2 linked regions of the Mytilus edulis genome follow. The protein of the gene in region 2 binds, or shares a complex with, the protein of the main gene of each other region. Links are inferred from orthologs where the notes say so. Each region holds a gene or a part of one and is shown on either strand. Other genes may lie near its edges. The genes, in order: ADP-ribosylation factor-like protein 6 and BBSome complex member BBS7-like.

Region 1 (9,253 bases), on a different chromosome or scaffold from region 2:
ATAGGTGGAAGAATATATAATAATAATACAAAAAAAGAAACAGAGGAAAAGCAATACATGTATGTCACCCGACATTGTTGATCGGGAGACATAATAAAAATCAAAACCCTGAACACATGCACATCTTCAATATATGTACCAACAGACAGCAGAGTGAAAACTTATTATGATTCAAACTATTGAAGATCACACAATTTAGTCTTAGATATGACCTTTTTTTAAGGTCATACAAATTTTGACCCAGAAATTAATAAACCAAACACAACTACTGGATTTGACGTAATAAAGACACTTTATGATTATAGGTCACTTGCTACAGGAGAACTGAAATTGAATGTTAAACTTAAGAAACTAGATTTAAATAAGAAAAAAATGTGTTTCAGAATCCTTTTGAATAAATTTAAAACTCGAAACCACTGAACCATGAAATATGACCATTTGACCTTCATCATACAGCAACAGATCAGCCTTTTCAAATCATTTGCCTGCTTTAATATTATAAATCTGTATGTCCATCAATGTCTGAGCATTTACTGTGAATATCCAGGTGTATGCAGACTCGTAATATCATAAATTTCCTGGTTTAACTTTGTTATGTGGACAACTATAAATGATCATGGATTTCGAAAGTAGGTCAAGGTGGGGGACAAAGTTTTCTTCAAGTTCATGGCCATCTAGATCTACATTTTTTGCAAAAGGATCCGCCTATGATATACATTGTACTTGTATAACATTTCAAAGGTTTAGTGTTGAAGGCTGTACTTTGACCATTAATTGTTTACTTTGTACACAGTGTGACTCAGAAGGAGAGTTGTCACATAGGCACTCATACCACATCTTCTTTATATTTTGATGTATTTACATTATACCTCAAACCCATATTTTTTTTAACGTGTTTCTAAAGGATCTTTTCTGTTGAAATGTTTCCCATAATTCTTCAAATCATATGAACCTGATGTTCATGATATTAGACTAATTTGTGTCAATTAACATCAGTTTTCATAAGTCTCTGTGGCTAATTGATGAGTCCATGTTAATGAAAGCTTATTAACCATCAAGGTTTGATGAAACATCTAATTCAAAACTCTTTTTTTCAAATTACCAACTTTGCTTCCAATGTTAGAATTTTGGGCAATGGGAAACAACTCCTGCTTTATAGAACAAACTATTTTCCAGCTTAAACAATGCACAACTAGGGAAAGGGCTCTAACTGAACAAGGAGAAGAGCTAAAATCATGAAAGTCAAACTTGACCTGTAACTTGTCATGATAAAACAATACACCAAATAACAAATCAATATCTTCAAGCATGAAGAAAAAAGTCTGGAAAACTGATTTGCCGGACTGACAAATGGACAGACGGACAGAGTGCAAACCTAAAGTCGGTAGGGGACTGGGAAACAGCTGATGCCCCCTATAACATATAATGTTATAAAGAGACATACAGTAACTCAAGAATTGTAAAAGTGACACTACCCAAATTTGTACTTGATCTGAGTTTTGAGGTAATTAGCATTGTGTATACATTTCACATATTTAGTTTAGGCAAACTAAAGTTACAGACTGAAACGAAAAATCCAACAATTTTTCCATTTGTAAAGTGGCATACATGTACAGTTACTCTAGAACAGTTAATCGCTACCAAAATTCAACCTTGATCTTTGTTTTGTGGTAATTTAGCATTGTGCATAAGTTCCATAACATTTGGTTAAGGCAAACTAAAGAAAAGGTATGGAAATGTCATTATGAAAAATTCAGTATTTTTTTTCATTTGCAGAGGGACATACATGTAACTCTAGAATGGTAAAATTGATGCAACCAAAATTTAAACCTGATCTGTTTTTTGGGGTAATAATCATTGTGCATAAGTTTTAAGACATTTGGTTGAGGCAAACTAAAGTTAGAGAAAGGAAACCAATTTTTGGACGTACAGATTGCGATTGACAAGGGTAAAACCTACTAAATTATAAAATTGAAAACAAAGTCTTAAGTTTGAATTAGAACAATTCTTGATATTTTTTTGTATCATTTCAATGTAAATTTATTAATTACACTACATGTACAGTACATGTATATAAAATTGAACATTTATAAGAAAAACACGTATACATAAGTCAGTGTTAGTGTTATTTTTTTATCAAATAAAATGTACTGACACATTTACAATTTTAAAAAGGTGTGAAGCAGCCTGTACTAATGAACATACATGTAATAACAAGATGAATATTAATTATATAATTTCAAGAAAACATAACTTTTACACTGAATTGAATTTTCGCTGTAACAGTGTAATACTTTCTTCAATTATTATTTGTCATTTTCGTCCATCATAAAAGAAAATGAAAGAATACAAAAGTCAAGAATTCAGTAAAATATATATCATTGTATATACATTTTTTTGTAACACCAAGTTAAACTGTACATTTGTTTATGATTTCTTTAACTTTGAATATGTACCAAATGTACATATCTCAAATTACTAAAATAACAGCTATCGTTCCTATCAATAAGTGTTAATCATTTGCCTCCATCTATAATATCCCGAAGTTGGTCACTTATCCATTCTACGCCTTCCATAAGACCTTCCCCTGTTAAAGCATTACTTGCACATATATGCCATGGTTTGTTTTTCATGTTTTCTATTTGTTCTAACTGAAGCAAACTAGAAACTTTAACACTGGAAATTGCTTCACGTACATCCATCTTATTGGCAAAGAAAAGAACGGGAATTCTTCTATTAGTAATTTTGGGGTGATTTAGAAGTTGATCCAATTCTTCTTTTGCAACAACCATTCTAAGCTTGTCGCTACTGTCTATCACAAATATAATGCCTTGACATTCTGTGTAGTAATGCTCCCATAGATTTCTGTATCTGCCTTGGCCTGACATATCGAATGCTGTAATTGACAAGGCACTACTTGTAAATTTTTCAACTGTGAAACCGATGGTTGGCACAATGTCGTGAGATTTTGTTTCCTTCGGTTTAAGATGATTAATGATTGTTGTTTTACCACTGTTATCAAGTCCAACAACAATAACATTTGCATCTTTCTTTTTCAAACCAAGCCATTTTGCGAGTTTGTCAAAAAATCCCATCTTTAAGTTTATAGTACTAATACAATTTGTAATAACTATTATGTGTAGAGTCCGTGTGTACGAGTTTCAACCAGTTCTTTGCAAGATTTTGATTTTTGTCAGTGTTATTTTTCCATTTTAAAGCGAATCAGCTCATATCTGAAGGTTCTTGCTTCTTTGACAATTAATTAGTTCATATAAATGGATACAAATACTTGATCAAGGTGTGAAATTCAGGTAAAACTGCTAAAACGTGTAGCCGCTTCCTGTTACCACTGTAAACAACTATTTCCCGTCAAGCAACGGTGATTTTTCTAAATCTTTCGAACGTTTGAAAGAACGTTTTCTCGCATCTATTTATCCATGAAGTTCAAAATAATAATTGACCCTGATTAGAACCGGAAGCAATATTTTTCACTATTTTTATGATTTAAATTTTAGCATTTTCATCTGCATTTAATGGAAAAGAATGAAATAGGCCTAACAGGCGATTTAAATGCTATGCAACCATTTTGAACGCAGTTATGAAACAATGCATATATTATTTTACAACTGACCTGTAAGGTATAACATGATATTGATAATACTATATTTGAAAAATGACCTGGGAACAGTATACCTAAATTATATATATGTCCTAGTCCAAATAATTATGACATCTTGAAAGGCTATTATATTTTTTTTCTTTGACGCCTTACATCACGTCATAATTATTTGGACTATATATGTCCCTGACATGACCAATAATTTACAAAGGTTTATTATTTTTTGAAAATCACACATCACAATATATTCTTCTGCTGTGTTACATTAATATGAGGCAGTCATTACCTGTGAATGGGGACGAAGTCTGAATTATTTTCTTTTTTATTTAAACATGTTGATAAACGGAAATACCGTAACGTTTCCGATATTGGTTCGTTGTTAGGGATTTCCTTGTGACGTTATTTAAGTAATGACTTCATATTCAATGTATACAAAGAAACGCTGTTATCAGGTTACGTTTTTTTTTATAATATGAGGCAGGCAATACCTGTAAGGGAGCTACCATTTGATTTTTATGGGGGGGCTAGGATGAAAAATTTTGTCCTGCATTTTTTTTTAGTTGTAATCTCTGTCCTGCCTTTTTATTTTTCACTCTATTCGGTCCTGCTTTTTTTTTTTTAGTTTATCCTGACTTTTTTTACATAAATTGTCATCCTGACTTCTTTTTTTTTGCAAGTGTCTCATCCTGCCTTTTTTTTTTACTCAAAACTTCTGTCCTGCCTATTTTTTTCAAATTTCATCCTGGGTGTTGAATTCCTTCCTATGTTTGTTGATATGTTGATAAATATACATTTTATTCAAAGTCTCATGCAAACAAGACCGGCCGGAAAACGTTTGTGCGCAGATGCAGACTGGGAAAAGGAAGTAGATCTAAAAAAAAAGTTAACGATTTTGAGTTCATTAGAAGAATAAAAAATCGGGGAATTTTCCCGAATTTTTTATTTTTTATTGATTTTTCTAACGTAATTGGGGACTTCGTCCCCATCTCAAACAATTATTAAAAATGATTGGGTGTTGAATTCCTTCCTATATTTATTGATATGTTGATAAATATACATTTCATTCAAAGTCTCAGCCAACAAGACCGGAACAGGAAGTAGATCTGAAAAAAAAGTTAACGATTTTGAGCTCATTAGTACAATGAAAAATTCGTGAAATTTTCCCGATTTTTTTTTGGATTTTTTTTTTGTTTGAATTTTCTACCGTAATTGGGGACTTTGTCCCCATATCATATGTTGCAAGCAGTTATCTCTGTTGACAAACATGATTAAATCTTAAAATTACTTGATTTAAAAGAGTATCAGGTGCTCTCATCTAAAATAAACATTAGAAATATGGTGAAAGAGAAATTATATTTAAAGTATTGCAGCATATGGAAGAAAAAATTATTTAATGATAAAAGACAAAATAAGACCTCTGGAAATAAACTTAGAACTTATCGATTATTTAAACCAAATTTTAATTTTGAGCCTTACTTATTGAAATTACCATATATATTCAAAAATGTGTTTTTACAAGATTTAGAATTGGAGCTCACAAACTTGAAATAGAAAAAGGTCGTTACTTTAATATTAAACTAGAAAATAGAATATGCAAACTCTGTAATGAGGAAATAGAAGATGAGATGCATTTTCTTTTAACATGTAAAACTTTGGATAATGTTAGAAATCCCTTTCTAAGCAAAATATATAGTAAAAATAAAAATATTTCAAAACTTGATAACAAATCTCTTTTTATTTGGCTAATGGGAAATGAAGATAAAAACATTTTGATAATAATTTGTCAATCATTAGAGGTTTTAAATATAAACAGAAATACAACTTTAAATTAGATTTCTCTATATAAAGATATAGAATGATATGTATGATCAAATATGCATTTACATTAGTTATTTCTTTTACATTTAATAAATTATTAGCATACTATGAGGTGTACTGTCCAATAAAGGGACCAGAGTAACAGACAATTGGTCATATTATATTATATATATTTTTATTATTACAAATTGCCCAGTCTGCACGGTTAGCCACTAGTCTGATGCCCCAGACTAGTAAAATTTTATTCGGACTAGTAAGTTTTTGCAAAACTTTGTTTGGCCCAATAAGAAAAGTGTCAGAATATTGGTCTTCGGACTAGTAGTTGAAAAAGTTTTTTGGTGCAGACTGATTTGCCTACTTCATTTGCTTTAATATTTTATATCAATCAATCAAATCAAAATCAATCATATTATGTACTTTGTTTAACCTATTTTTAATTTACTTTACATTATGTTTGAAAATTATATTGTAATTATTCTGCTCATTTTGGGCGTCGTGATTGACAAATAAAATATCTGTTGTTTGTTTGTTCTGTTGAAGTCCGTGTTTTCCCTCGCCTTACTCAAAATTTTGGAAAAGTCTTGTCACTGCACTCCAATTTTTAATATTCTTTAATTTCTCGTTCTTCAATGTTATCCTTTGGTTATGGCACCACAAATCAACTATCGTATCATAGAAAGAAAACAACTATACTATTTAATTTTTACTTCATATATATATATTCTGAATTTTGCTAAGACTACATGCATGTACATCATGTCATGTACTTCGGCACTGACAGTATCAGGTCTGTTCACACCCAATACACTTTTGCACCCCACACCTTCGCACCTCACATGTTTGCCCCCGAAGTCCGTTCACACCCTGCACGTTCACACCCAATTTTTATTGGAATTTCAGTTGAATTTTTTAGATATTTCTTTTATATGTATATACCAAATATTTTTATTGTATACTGCAACTACCTGGGTTTATTTCCTAAATATAGTAACATAGCTATATTTTGTATAATGTCTATTTCATCATGAAACACTGTCTCCACAATCAGGGGTCCATTAAGAGATGAAAATAAGTTTGACATTTCTGTTACGATTTAAAAAGCTATCTGTATTAATTTAAGTTCATTTAGTTGCCGTATAAAAACAATATTAGGTCAATGTTCTAAATTTTTTTTTAAATTGTACTCTATGCAAAACTTTCTAAGCCTCATACAAAAAAGTTATATTTTCCTGACATTGACCATGTTGACCTAATATTGTATATGTCTTGAATAAGATTTGAGGAATTATTTTACAGATTTCATTTTTTACAGCTTGGCTCCTTTTATCTCATGAAGATGAAAAAATGTGTGTTTGTCAGAATCCTAATTCCTTTTGAAACAATGAAAAGAAATATTTATAGAAATACACTTTAATACCATGACACAAAAAAAATAACTTGTCAGAATCTCACTTTATTTAGAAACAATAAAAAAATATATATGCATAGCAATACATTTCCAAAAACTTGTTTACAAATTATTAAACACAAAACCAATAACAATTGGGCACGAAAGTGTAGGGTGCGAACAGACTTTGGGTGCGAAATTGAAAGGGGGCAAACTTGATTGGACACGAACGGACTGACATCGACCCTACATGTACATGTAAATTAAATCAGTACAATGTGACGTTGTAACTCCCACAGTATTCTCAACACATATAGTCAAAACAAATAGCACATAACAAATATACATAAAAAAGCACAGTATTGTGAAAAAAGAATCATCATGATCATAGACTGTATAATAATCAGCACTTTGAATATTTAATTGGTCTGTTTCAATTTGGATGCACAATCTGTTGGTGCATTTCTTATTTTTATGCCCCACCTACGATAATAGAGGGGCATTATGTTTTCTGGTCTGTGCGTCCGTCCGTCCGTTCGTCCGTCCGTCCGTCTGTTCGTCCATCTGTGCCACTTCAGGTTAAAGTTTTTGGTCAAGGTAGTTTTTGATGAAGTTGAAGTCCAATTGACTTCAAACTTGGTACGTATGTTCCCTATGATATGATCTTTCTAATTTTAATGCCAAATTAGAGATCTTATCCGAATTTTACGGTCCACTGAACATAGAAAATGATAGTGCGAGTGGGGCATTTGTGTACTGAGGACACATTCTAGATTTTAATCTATTTTTTGTACCTTAACCCCTATAACATAATATGATGCAAGTGTCAGATCAAATGTTGTTGTTTTTTTTAAGTTAAATGAATTTGTATGAAACAGTAAGAAAAAAAATTGAAGATTTTGAGTTGATAAGTGGACTGATTTTCTGTTTTATTGTTTTTCTTACTTTTTTTGGAGACTTAAGTAAATGTCATATTAATTGGAATACTGGTCATTCTCAGTCTAAATAATAAAATGTAGAATTATCACAAGTGGCATTGAACTAAAAAAAATGTCAAATATATTTTGTGATTGCTGTTATAATTTTTATATGACCGCAAAATTTGAAAAATGTTTCGTCGTATATTGCTATCACATTGGCGTCGTCGTCTGCGTCGTCGTTTTCCGAATACTTTTAGTTTTCGCACTCTAACTTTAGTAAAAGTGAATGGAAATCTATGAAATTTTAACACAAGGTTTATGACCACAAAAGGAAGGTTGGTATTGATTTTGGGAGTTTTGGTCCCAACATTTTAGGAATTAGGGGCCAAAAAGGGCCCAAATAAGCATTTTCTTGGTTTTCGCACTATAACTTTAGTTTAAGTTAATAGAAATCTATGAAATTTTGACACAAGGTTTATGACCACAAAAGAACGGTTGGGATTGATTTTGGGAGTTTTGGTTTCAACAGTTTAGGAATTAGGGGCCAAAAAAGGGCCCAAATAAGCATTATTCTTGGTTTTCGCACAATAACTTTAGTTTAGGTGAATAGAAATCTATGAAATTTAAACACAATGTTAATGACTACAAAAGTAAGGTTGGTATTGATTTTGGGAGTTTTGGTCCCAACAGTTTAGGAATTAGGGGCCAAAAAGGGACCCAAATAAGCATTTTTCTTGGTTTTCGCACCATAACGTTAGTATAAGTAAATAGAAATCTATGAAATTTAAACACAAGGTTTATGACCATAAAAGGAAGGTTGGTATTGATTTTGAAAGTTTTGATCCCAACAGAATAAGGGGCACAAAGGGTCCAAAATTAAACTTTGTTTGATTTCATCACAATTGAATAATTGGGGTTCTTTGATATGTCGAATCTAACTGTCATGACTGTGTATGAAGATTCTTAACTTTTGGTCCCGTTTTCAAATTGGTCTACATTAAGGTCCAAAGGGTCCAAAATTAAACTAACTTTGATTTTGACAAAAAATGAATCAGTTAGGTTCTTTGATATGCTGAATCTAAAAATGTACTTAGATTCTTGATTATTGGCCCAGTTTTCAAGTTGGTCCAAATCGGGGTCCAAAATTAAACTTTGTTTGATTTCATCAAAAATTGAATAAATGGGGTTCTTTGATATACCAAATCTAACTGTGTATGTAGATTCTTCATTTTTATGCCCCACCTACGATAGTAGAGGGGCATTATGTTTTCTGGTCTGTGCGTCTGTTCGTCCGTCCGTCTGTTCGTTCGTTCGTTTGTCCGTTCGCCTGTCTGTCCCGCTTCAGGTTAAAGTTTTTGGTCAAGGTAGTTTTTGATGAAGTTGAAGTCCAATCAAATTGAAACTTAGTATACATGTGCCCTATGATATGATCTTTCTAATGTAAATGCCAAATTATAGTTTTGACCCCAATTTTACGGTTCACTGAACATAGAAAATGATAGTGCAAAT
Region 2 (9,332 bases):
TCGTTCTTTGTTTCCCGTTTTCACACTTAATTAGACTTTCATGTGTCACGATTTAAAAAAATCTGCCCATCCCGCATCACACTTATAACACCCCAATGAGACCCTCAGACAGGCACAGTAAATAATTAAAGTTTTCCTCAAGTTTTTCCGACTTCGTTCTCTTTCACAGGTACATGTACAGTGATATGCAGTGAAGTTTAGCATTTGATAGTTCATTGATAACATTCTGGCGTATCATAAACAAACAACTTGTAACGTCTCATTTCATTGGCGGAAAGATTTAAATACAACAGCAATGTAGTCAGTCTAGTCAGTGTGCACGTGAATTGACACAGGTGACCGACAATGGAATTTACTATGTTACTACGAACGTAAAAACAATGATTTGTATAGTTTACAAACCTTTGGCCAAAAGATTTAAATAAATGTTTTGCTAACTTCAAATAGTGAGGTCAAAAAAGTATACTGATATTCTAAGTTCTTTATGCATGCAGCAACTCAATTATCTTGTACCCGGCATGATGTCAGAGAAATATAAGGATAAAATAAAATACATGTGCCGCTTTTATACGGATGAATAAATGAACCACTTTTAATTTCTTTCATACCTACGATAGGTTATAATCCTTACAATGTCGTAGTCACTTATAAAGTATTTCATAATACTGATCCTGCTTTACAATAATTAATGATGGGTTGCACTGACATTCCTCCTTTATTATTGTCATGCTAAAACATACATACAGTAGCTACCATAAAAGGAGGAAGTTGTTCCCCAAAGATAGAAACAAAATAACTAATCGTATCAATTGTGCACCTGAATGAATTCAGTGAAGATTATTTCTTTCGAATGTTTGGAACTAAATAAATATTAATACTTGTGAGGAATGTCGTAGTTTATAAGGAACAACTCCCGTTTAAATTGTTTTTACATTGTCATTTCTGGGCCTTTTATAGCTGACTATGCGGTATGGGCTTTGCTCATTTTTGAAAGCCGTACCATGGCCTTTAGTTGTTAATTTCTGTGTCATTGTGGTCTCTTGTGGAGAGTTGTGGCATTGGCAATCATACCACATCTTCTTTATTACATATAAATGTACTGTTTTCGATTATGAATGTGTGAATATTAATTTTTTAAATTTATACTGTAACAATAGAGTTGCATAACATTGTTGAACAATCCGCTAAAGTATATGTAGTATGTATTCGTATTTGAAATAAAATACAAAACGAAACGTGTATGATAAACTGATAAAAAATATCAAGAAATTAAGGATGACTAAATGTATGTACAAGATGAAACTCACCTTTTTATAAATACATTTAAATGATTTAATGAATACAGACATTGTTTGTTTGTATTTACATAGATATAGGAAGATGTGGTGTGAGTGCCAATAAGACAACTCTCCATCCAAATAACAATTTATAAAAGTAAACCATTATAGGTCAATGTAAGGCCTTCAATACAGAGCCTTGGCTCACACTGAACAACAAGCTATAAAGGGCCCCAAAATTACTAGTGTAAAACCATTCAACTTGGGAAAACCAACGGTTTAATATTTACAATATATAATTTACGTTCGTTTTTTCAACCGAGAATAGCAAAACCTCATGAATTATATCGTTTGTATAAACTTCATTTAATTATCCGCTGTGCCATGATTGGCCATCTCCATTTTTTTCTTAACAAAGCGTGTTACATGTTATGAATTTACTTACAATTTTGGAATTTATTTTTTTCCTTCAAGTTATAATGGAATCAGAAAAAAAATCACTATTCTATGAAGAATATCTAAAACTTGGCAAACAATATGAAAAGTGTTTGTAGTAAAGTATACAGTTTCATTTTTCAAGTACAACGTTAATTCATCGAGTCCATTGAGTAAAAGAGAAGGCAGGATAAGCAACTTGGGTGTGTCAATGAAAAAAAATATGTGAATTGAGGTTTTTTTTTTATCCTACATTAAACTTTTGATGTCGTCCCTTGATTTAGAGGAGATATTTAAATTGAATATTTTAACTGTTAAGATTTTAAAGTTTAAACTTTACTACCAATTAATTGCAGAAAATTATAACACAAATGAATTTCACATGCACATTAAGCTAGAATTGTGATTAGAATCATGCATGCGAATACGACGATAGAAGCTTTAGACGACCTTGACCAGCTACGTGAATATTAATCAGTCCATTCAACGTTAAAGTACGCGTGTTCTATTTTTGCAGGTGTGAGGTCGAAGGTTTGAATTGACCAATGAAAACGATCGTTCCTTAGAGAGTTAATCTAATAAAGTTTGTTTGTCTGATTATGTCGGCTTTCGGGTCGATCCGGCCCCACGTCGATCCGGCCCAAGTCGATCCGTCCCACGTCGATCCGGCCCCACGTCGATCCGGCCCAAATGTAAAGTCGATCCGGCCCCAATAAAAAAAAATATTTCTAAGGAATAAAAATAAATATATATTAATTGTAATTCATAAATGTTTATTATTTTTATTATAATGTTAAAGGTGTACGGTAAAAAAAAGTAAAAAAGGCCTTTGAAAAATATTTTCTTTAGATGAGTATAAAACAACTAGGTTGATTATGTCTTTATTACAAGTTTTTAAGATTATTGGGTATAATTATATTAAAACGTATATAAAAAAATTCAGACATCAACATTAATCAGCAGTAATGTAATTAGCATTTTCTTTCAATTGACTGTGATCCTAACAAGTCTTTCATCTTGTGTAACATATAATAACAAATAGTTACATACATGAACGGTACAAGCCGATCCCCAAGCTGATAAATATTAACTTTTTTTTTTCTTTTTAGGTTCTTGACATTTCTAAAATTGAGAAATGTTGTTTGATTTGCCGAATCCTTTCTATGAACATGATAAAAGGGTGCTGATATTATATTTTAGAGAGTGAAAACGTGCATTCAATGTCATTGTTTTGTTGTTTTCTTGCAATAAAGAATAATGGATACTCATATGACTTCTTTTTTTTTTATCTACACACTATTCAAAATATTGTCAAAATAAGAAAAATATATTGACTATATCCGATGTTACAAAAAAATATTTTTATATGGTATAGAAGCCTATGATGTAACCTGGAAAAAAAATACAAATAATTATTTTAATATACACCAACCAGAAGATCAAACTATAAAGACCTTGTTGAAAAACGGATTACGTAACTTTAATTAATCAGCATTGGATTGAATTAAGTGATTTATCATTACGAGTCGCATTACCTTAGTTCACAATCATCAGACAACTGTTGAATAAACAAACCAATTATAGACTAATGATTTGATTAAATAAGTCATTATTATGCGTTAAATTTTATAGGTCCACTGGACTGTAAATATTTATTTAGCTATTCTGTGTGTGAACTGAATAAAATAAAAATCGCCATGAAATTCAAAGTAAAAGTTATCATGGAAAATAACTTCATAATTTAAAAATGAATAAAACTGCGATACAAACAGACACAATAACACTAATTTCCGTATGGATTTAAAATAGTTCGTTAACTGGTACTCCAATACTTCACTGACCTGTTGTCACCCATCATCAATCGGAGACTTTTTTCAAATTCCATTTATACTGTTAAAGTTTGTGACAAATTCCTCCAAAATCTAGTTAATTCATATTTTATTATGGGGCCGGATCGACTTGGGGACGGATCGACGTGGGCCGGATCGACTTGGGCCGGATCGACTTAGGGCCGGATTGACTTGGGGCCGGATCGGTTTGGGGCCGGAACGACCGGATACCATTATGTCGCACGACCTATCGCGAAGCTTGGCCGCAGTTGGGTATAACACCTCCCTCATATTAAAGTTAGGGAAGCTACACTTTCAAAAAAAATTGTTCATCTAATATAGTTGGTGGAATATAAAGAGTAAACTGTAGCCTATCTTAAACAGTTAAAGCTTGGTATGTTGGTCAAGCAGGAAAAACAATCTGCATCTTTGAGTTTGAGTGCAGCCTTTAAGTATGCATTAATTCTAATTTGAACTTGAACAAAAGATTGACATGTTATCATGTAGATAAATGAAATTCAACCTGGAGGTAATCAACTCGTGATAAGTTTAATTCCATCATCTTGAACGTATTTTGTATTTTGGAATGTTGAATGTTGCCAAGTATAGAACTTCCGGTATTGCTAAGTTATGCATCACGTATATAGTTAAATTTTTTCTCTCTCTTTTGAATAATTCATGGTCGTTGTTTTTAAACATTAATTTGATTCGTGGAAGATATTTTTCATTTAACCATAATTCATTAAGACAACATAATAGTTGTATTTGGAATCTCAGTCATGTCAAATGGAATGTTTAAAAAGTTCGGGAAAAAGGAGATTTTTACCTTAACTGTGAAGAGCTCTACCCAAATGATAAGGCTACCGGCTACATACCAATACGTGGCATTATAAGGATGGCAAGGATATATTTATTGCTTTTAATCTTAATGGTAATGATTTTTTGATACTTTACATTAATTTTCAGGTACCCGCAAAACTTTTGCACCATTATAAATTCAAAATGCATTGTTGATTGAACAAAAATATATCCACTGACTGTCATGCTCTATACATCATTACACAGTCATAGATGTACACATGTTCTTAGTTATGATAAACATGATATACGTGTATATAGTCAAGCATGTCAACAAAATGAATGTAAAAGAATGCTGGCATTGTTTTCTCTATTGACCATCAATGATCAGATACTGAGTCATCTGATACGCATACATTTACTTTCTGAAGCAAATTGTATACAATACATATTTTCAAATAAGGGAATTTCACAGAAAAATCTGCATTAAAAAGCAAGGTTCAGCTTATACAAGGTGTGTTTTGACCCAAAAGTTATCCTAGGTCAACAGCATGATAGGGACATTTGATTCATCATGTTCATAATTAAAACAAAGTCCAAACAAGTCTTTTTTGTACTCATTGGTTTGTAAAACTGCTGTCAGTTTAGGAATTTCAAAGTTCAAATAACTTTGGAATCAGAACATTGTATTTTGATTTATTTAACAGTCAGGGGACTTACTTAAACAAGTGATTTTCTAAATCACTGATTCAAGTAACATTATTTCCATAAAGGTTTGAAGTTAGAGTTGTCTTTCTTTAATAATCACCTATTTAAGTAGTACAAATTAATCACTAGAAGAAGTGATTTAATATTAGTGTAGCTTTAAATATAGAATACTAATGATCCAGGGACTAATTATGTTTCTAAACTTATCAGAACCAACATCTGTGTTGTCTAGGATGACCAGGTCATTTCAGGTGATGACCTTGTACTGAATCTAGGATAATGACATAAAAATCACTTGTTTAAGTGTCAGACCTCAATTTCCTTCCCAAAATCACTTCTTTAAGTATCATTCTTTTAATAACCCCCACTAATTTCAACACCCCCGAACAGTGAAATTTTTATCGCGAACAGTAGAATTTTATTACATAATCTGAAAGATGAAACCTTGAACTTCACAGGAAAAATACTCCCACTGCTGTGAAAAATCTTTGAAGAAAGTATCAGTTCATTATGTAAAGCCATTATTGTAGCATTTTTTCAACTAAAATAGAATTTTCAGGTAAATGATAGCATCAAAGGCATAAACCTTGCTACTTAAAAGAAGCAAAAAGTTCATATTTTTTAATTTTACTAATTAAAAGATGTTATTTAATCCTATGTGTTTAAAATTTTGAAAAAACTACAAAATCCCAATTTGTGACAAAACCTTGAATTTGCTACTCAAATAAGTGATTTAAAAATCACTTATTTCAGTAAGTCCCCTGACTGTTTAAGATAAACTTTAGTTGATATTATTGTTTTTTTAAATACAAAATTATCTGTACATGTATCACAACTTCAGAGCCCAAGGCTGACACTGTCACATGACTGTTTTGTATGTTATCAAGTGGACATGAAGCTGAAATCTGAAACAAAGCAATTTAATAAAATTATAGTTGTTTAAATGAGCCACAGAAAGTACAAATCACAATTTTTAACCCCTACCACAAACTGTTCATATTTAATGTGTCCTTAGAACTACAAAAAAAGTTGAAATGTGACTTAATTTTCAACAAATACATCTACATTAGCATGTTATACATTAATGAAGTTCCTAAGTCATGTAAGTCAATGTAAGTAAATAAAATTTATGAACCAGAACACTTGGATTTGAAAAGTTGAGTAGTGAAATTACTTTAAACATGTTTAAACTTAAATATGTTTGTTAAAAGAAAGTGGTTTAATTTAATGTATTTTGATCAAACTAAGACAATTTCTTGAAAGTAAAGCTGAGATTAGATGCTTTCAGGTTATTAGTGAATTAAGAATATGGTTGTTCACACATTTTGTCAGTCGTGTTAGTAGATAGCATTTATAGAGAGGCAAATTTTTAATAACAAAACTTGTGCTAGACAAATGAAATTGAAGTTAAATATAAGTTATCTCCCTTTGTTCATTATACTTTGTCACTGATACACACGATTATGATTATATGATAGTATTATACTTTTACATTTTAAAATTGGAGAAGAACACACATCCATGTGTGTGTGTACATGTGTTGGTCTTCATGTTCTTTGAGCATGTTAGATGAGATCTACAGCTTAATTAAAATAGGATTACAATACAAAAATGTGCTAATAAATATTGAAGCAGTCTAAACAACAAGCCAGTTCTAATACACTCATGGGTAGTACTTGTACAAGTATTATTTTAAAATATACACATATAAGTTAGTTATAACATATAATGTTTGAATAATCTCCCCTTAATTTTCTCAAAAAATCACTTGTAATTTTTCTTACAATCTCGCAACAATTCTCAAGTTTAGAGATGTAAAATCATGTCTTTAATGATTTTTCCCAGGTTAGCTCATAATTTTTGATAAGAGTTCAATGTTTCATCTCATTATTTCAACAAAGAAACTGATTGTGCAAAGATCTTAAGTATTTGTGCAAGGCCTTCAAAAATTGCTCCTTGGGGCTTGTAAATGAGCAGTGTTCTGAAGATAACAGACAAACAGGATTTTCATTTCCCATGAAATTACACTGAAATGATTAGTAAAGACATCTGCAAAGGGCAGACAAATTAAGATTCTATAAGAGCAAAGAAATCCTAAGAATTCAAGAAAAGAAGATAGGATGACTTTTTTACTTATACAAGTAAAAAAATCTGAATGTGTAAGGGACATAACTAAGCCAATTTTTTTGTTACCTACACAACATGTGCAAGTAAATAAAATTCACTTGTACAAGTATCCTACAAATTAACTTATAAGTGTATATTTATTTTTACTTCCTCAAGTAGTACCCCTGACTGTAATATTATAAGTTGATTTCAGGCCAAAAAAGAAAACACAATACTTGTACATGATGTATCAAGGTTTCCCTACCTATCCTTTTGTTACCATGGTAATGCCTCAAATTGCCTACCCTTAAGTTTTTATTGCTTCTGTTATTGGCAGTAAATCTCAACAAAAATTAAAGGTCTCTCCATGTTTCAAAGGTATAAAAATATTGAGATAGATGAAAAGGAATTAATATGTAGACCTTAATTTTCTTGAGTCATGAATGTAAGTAGGAAATCTGAAATATACATGTATATTGAAACAATACTGTACAAAATTCTAATCTTTTAAATGAAAAACTTTATATTTCCCAAACATTATGAACAATGCCTTCTGAGATAAAGAAGACCACATAAGAGATGAGGTCACTAGGTCAAATGTAAAAGTCATAACATGTCTAAATAAAGTTTTGGTTTTTATAATTTATCTCATAGTCATTTATATTTTTTTAAATGTTAATTGATTTTACAAGTATATTATCAGTCAGGGGACTTACTTAAACAAGTGATTTTCTAAATCACTGATTCAAGTAACATTATTTCCATAAAGGTTTGAAGTTAGAGTTGTCTTTCTTTAATAATCACCTATTTAAGTAGTACAAATTAATCACTAGAAGAAGTGATTTAATATTAGTGTAGCTTTAAATATAGAATACTAATGATCCAGGGACTAATTATGTTTCTAAACTTATCAGAACCAACATCTGTGTTGTCTAGGATGACCAGGTCATTTCAGGTGATGACCTTGTACTGAATCTAGGATAATGACATAAAAATCACTTGTTTAAGTGTCAGACCTCAATTTCCTTCCCAAAATCACTTCTTTAAGTATCATTCTTTTAATAACCCCCACTAATTTCAACACCCCCGAACAGTGAAATTTTTATCGCGAACAGTAGAATTTTATTACATAATCTGAAAGATGAAACCTTGAACTTCACAGGAAAAATACTCCCACTGCTGTGAAAAATCTTTGAAGAAAGTATCAGTTCATTATGTAAAGCCATTATTATAGCATTTTTTCAACTAAAATAGAATTTTCAGGTAAATGATAGCATCAAAGGCATAAACCTTGCTACTTAAAAGAAGCAAAAAGTTCATATTTTTTAATTTTACTAATTAAAAGATGTTATTTAATCCTATGTGTTTAAAATTTTGAAAAAACTACAAAATCCCAATTTGTGACAAAACCTTGAATTTGCTACTCAAATAAGTGATTTAAAAATCACTTATTTCAGTAAGTCCCCTGACTGTTTAAGATAAACTTTAGTTGATATTATTGTTTTTTTAAATACAAAATTATCTGTACATGTATCACAACTTCAGAGCCCAAGGCTGACACTGTCACATGACTGTTTTGTATGTTATCAAGTGGACATGAAGCTGAAATCTGAAACAAAGCAATTTAATAAAATTATAGTTGTTTAAATGAGCCACAGAAAGTACAAATCACAATTTTTAACCCCTACCACAAACTGTTCATATTTAATGTGTCCTTAGAACTACAAAAAAAGTTGAAATGTGACTTAATTTTCAACAAATACATCTACATTAGCATGTTATACATTAATGAAGTTCCTAAGTCATGTAAGTCAATGTAAGTAAATAAAATTTATGAACCAGAACACTTGGATTTGAAAAGTTGAGTAGTGAAATTACTTTAAACATGTTTAAACTTAAATATGTTTGTTAAAAGAAAGTGGTTTAATTTAATGTATTTTGATCAAACTAAGACAATTTCTTGAAAGTAAAGCTGAGATTAGATGCTTTCAGGTTATTAGTGAATTAAGAATATGGTTGTTCACACATTTTGTCAGTCGTGTTAGTAGATAGCATTTATAGAGAGGCAAATTTTTAATAACAAAACTTGTGCTAGACAAATGAAATTGAAGTTAAATATAAGTTATCTCCCTTTGTTCATTATACTTTGTCACTGATACACACGATTATGATTATATGA

What was found.
Region 1: the proteins of BBSome complex member BBS7-like (region 2) and ADP-ribosylation factor-like protein 6 are in contact, whole or in part, in a cryo-EM structure (PDB 6VBV), measured with the Bos taurus proteins. The link is inferred for Mytilus edulis from reciprocal best matches to the Homo sapiens genes BBS7 and ARL6. Residues at the interface, in NP_001178275.2 of Bos taurus: Leu3, Ile249, Val250, Gly251, Asp300, Gly301, Tyr302, Asp303, Thr319, Glu320, Pro321, His323, Lys324, Glu325, Ser326, Gly327, Pro328; in NP_001069250.1 of Bos taurus: Met132, Asp133, Arg135, Thr139, Ser140, Val141, Ser144, Trp157, His158, Ile159, Cys160, Ala161, Asp163, Lys166.

The regions. Positions count from the first base shown.
Region 1 is NC_092344.1:97,617,192-97,626,444, forward strand, and holds ADP-ribosylation factor-like protein 6, read right to left. Parts: upstream 3,388-9,253; 5' UTR 3,096-3,387; coding exon 2,517-3,095; 3' UTR 1,986-2,516; downstream 1-1,985. UniProt on the Homo sapiens protein: Involved in membrane protein trafficking at the base of the ciliary organelle. Mediates recruitment onto plasma membrane of the BBSome complex which would constitute a coat complex required for sorting of specific membrane proteins to the primary cilia.
Region 2 is NC_092345.1:61,644,391-61,653,722, forward strand, and holds the start of BBSome complex member BBS7-like, read right to left. Parts: upstream 4,191-9,332; 5' UTR 4,104-4,190; coding exon 4,065-4,103; intron 1-4,064. Other genes in the region: protein disulfide-isomerase A5-like, read left to right, coding at 4,437-4,472.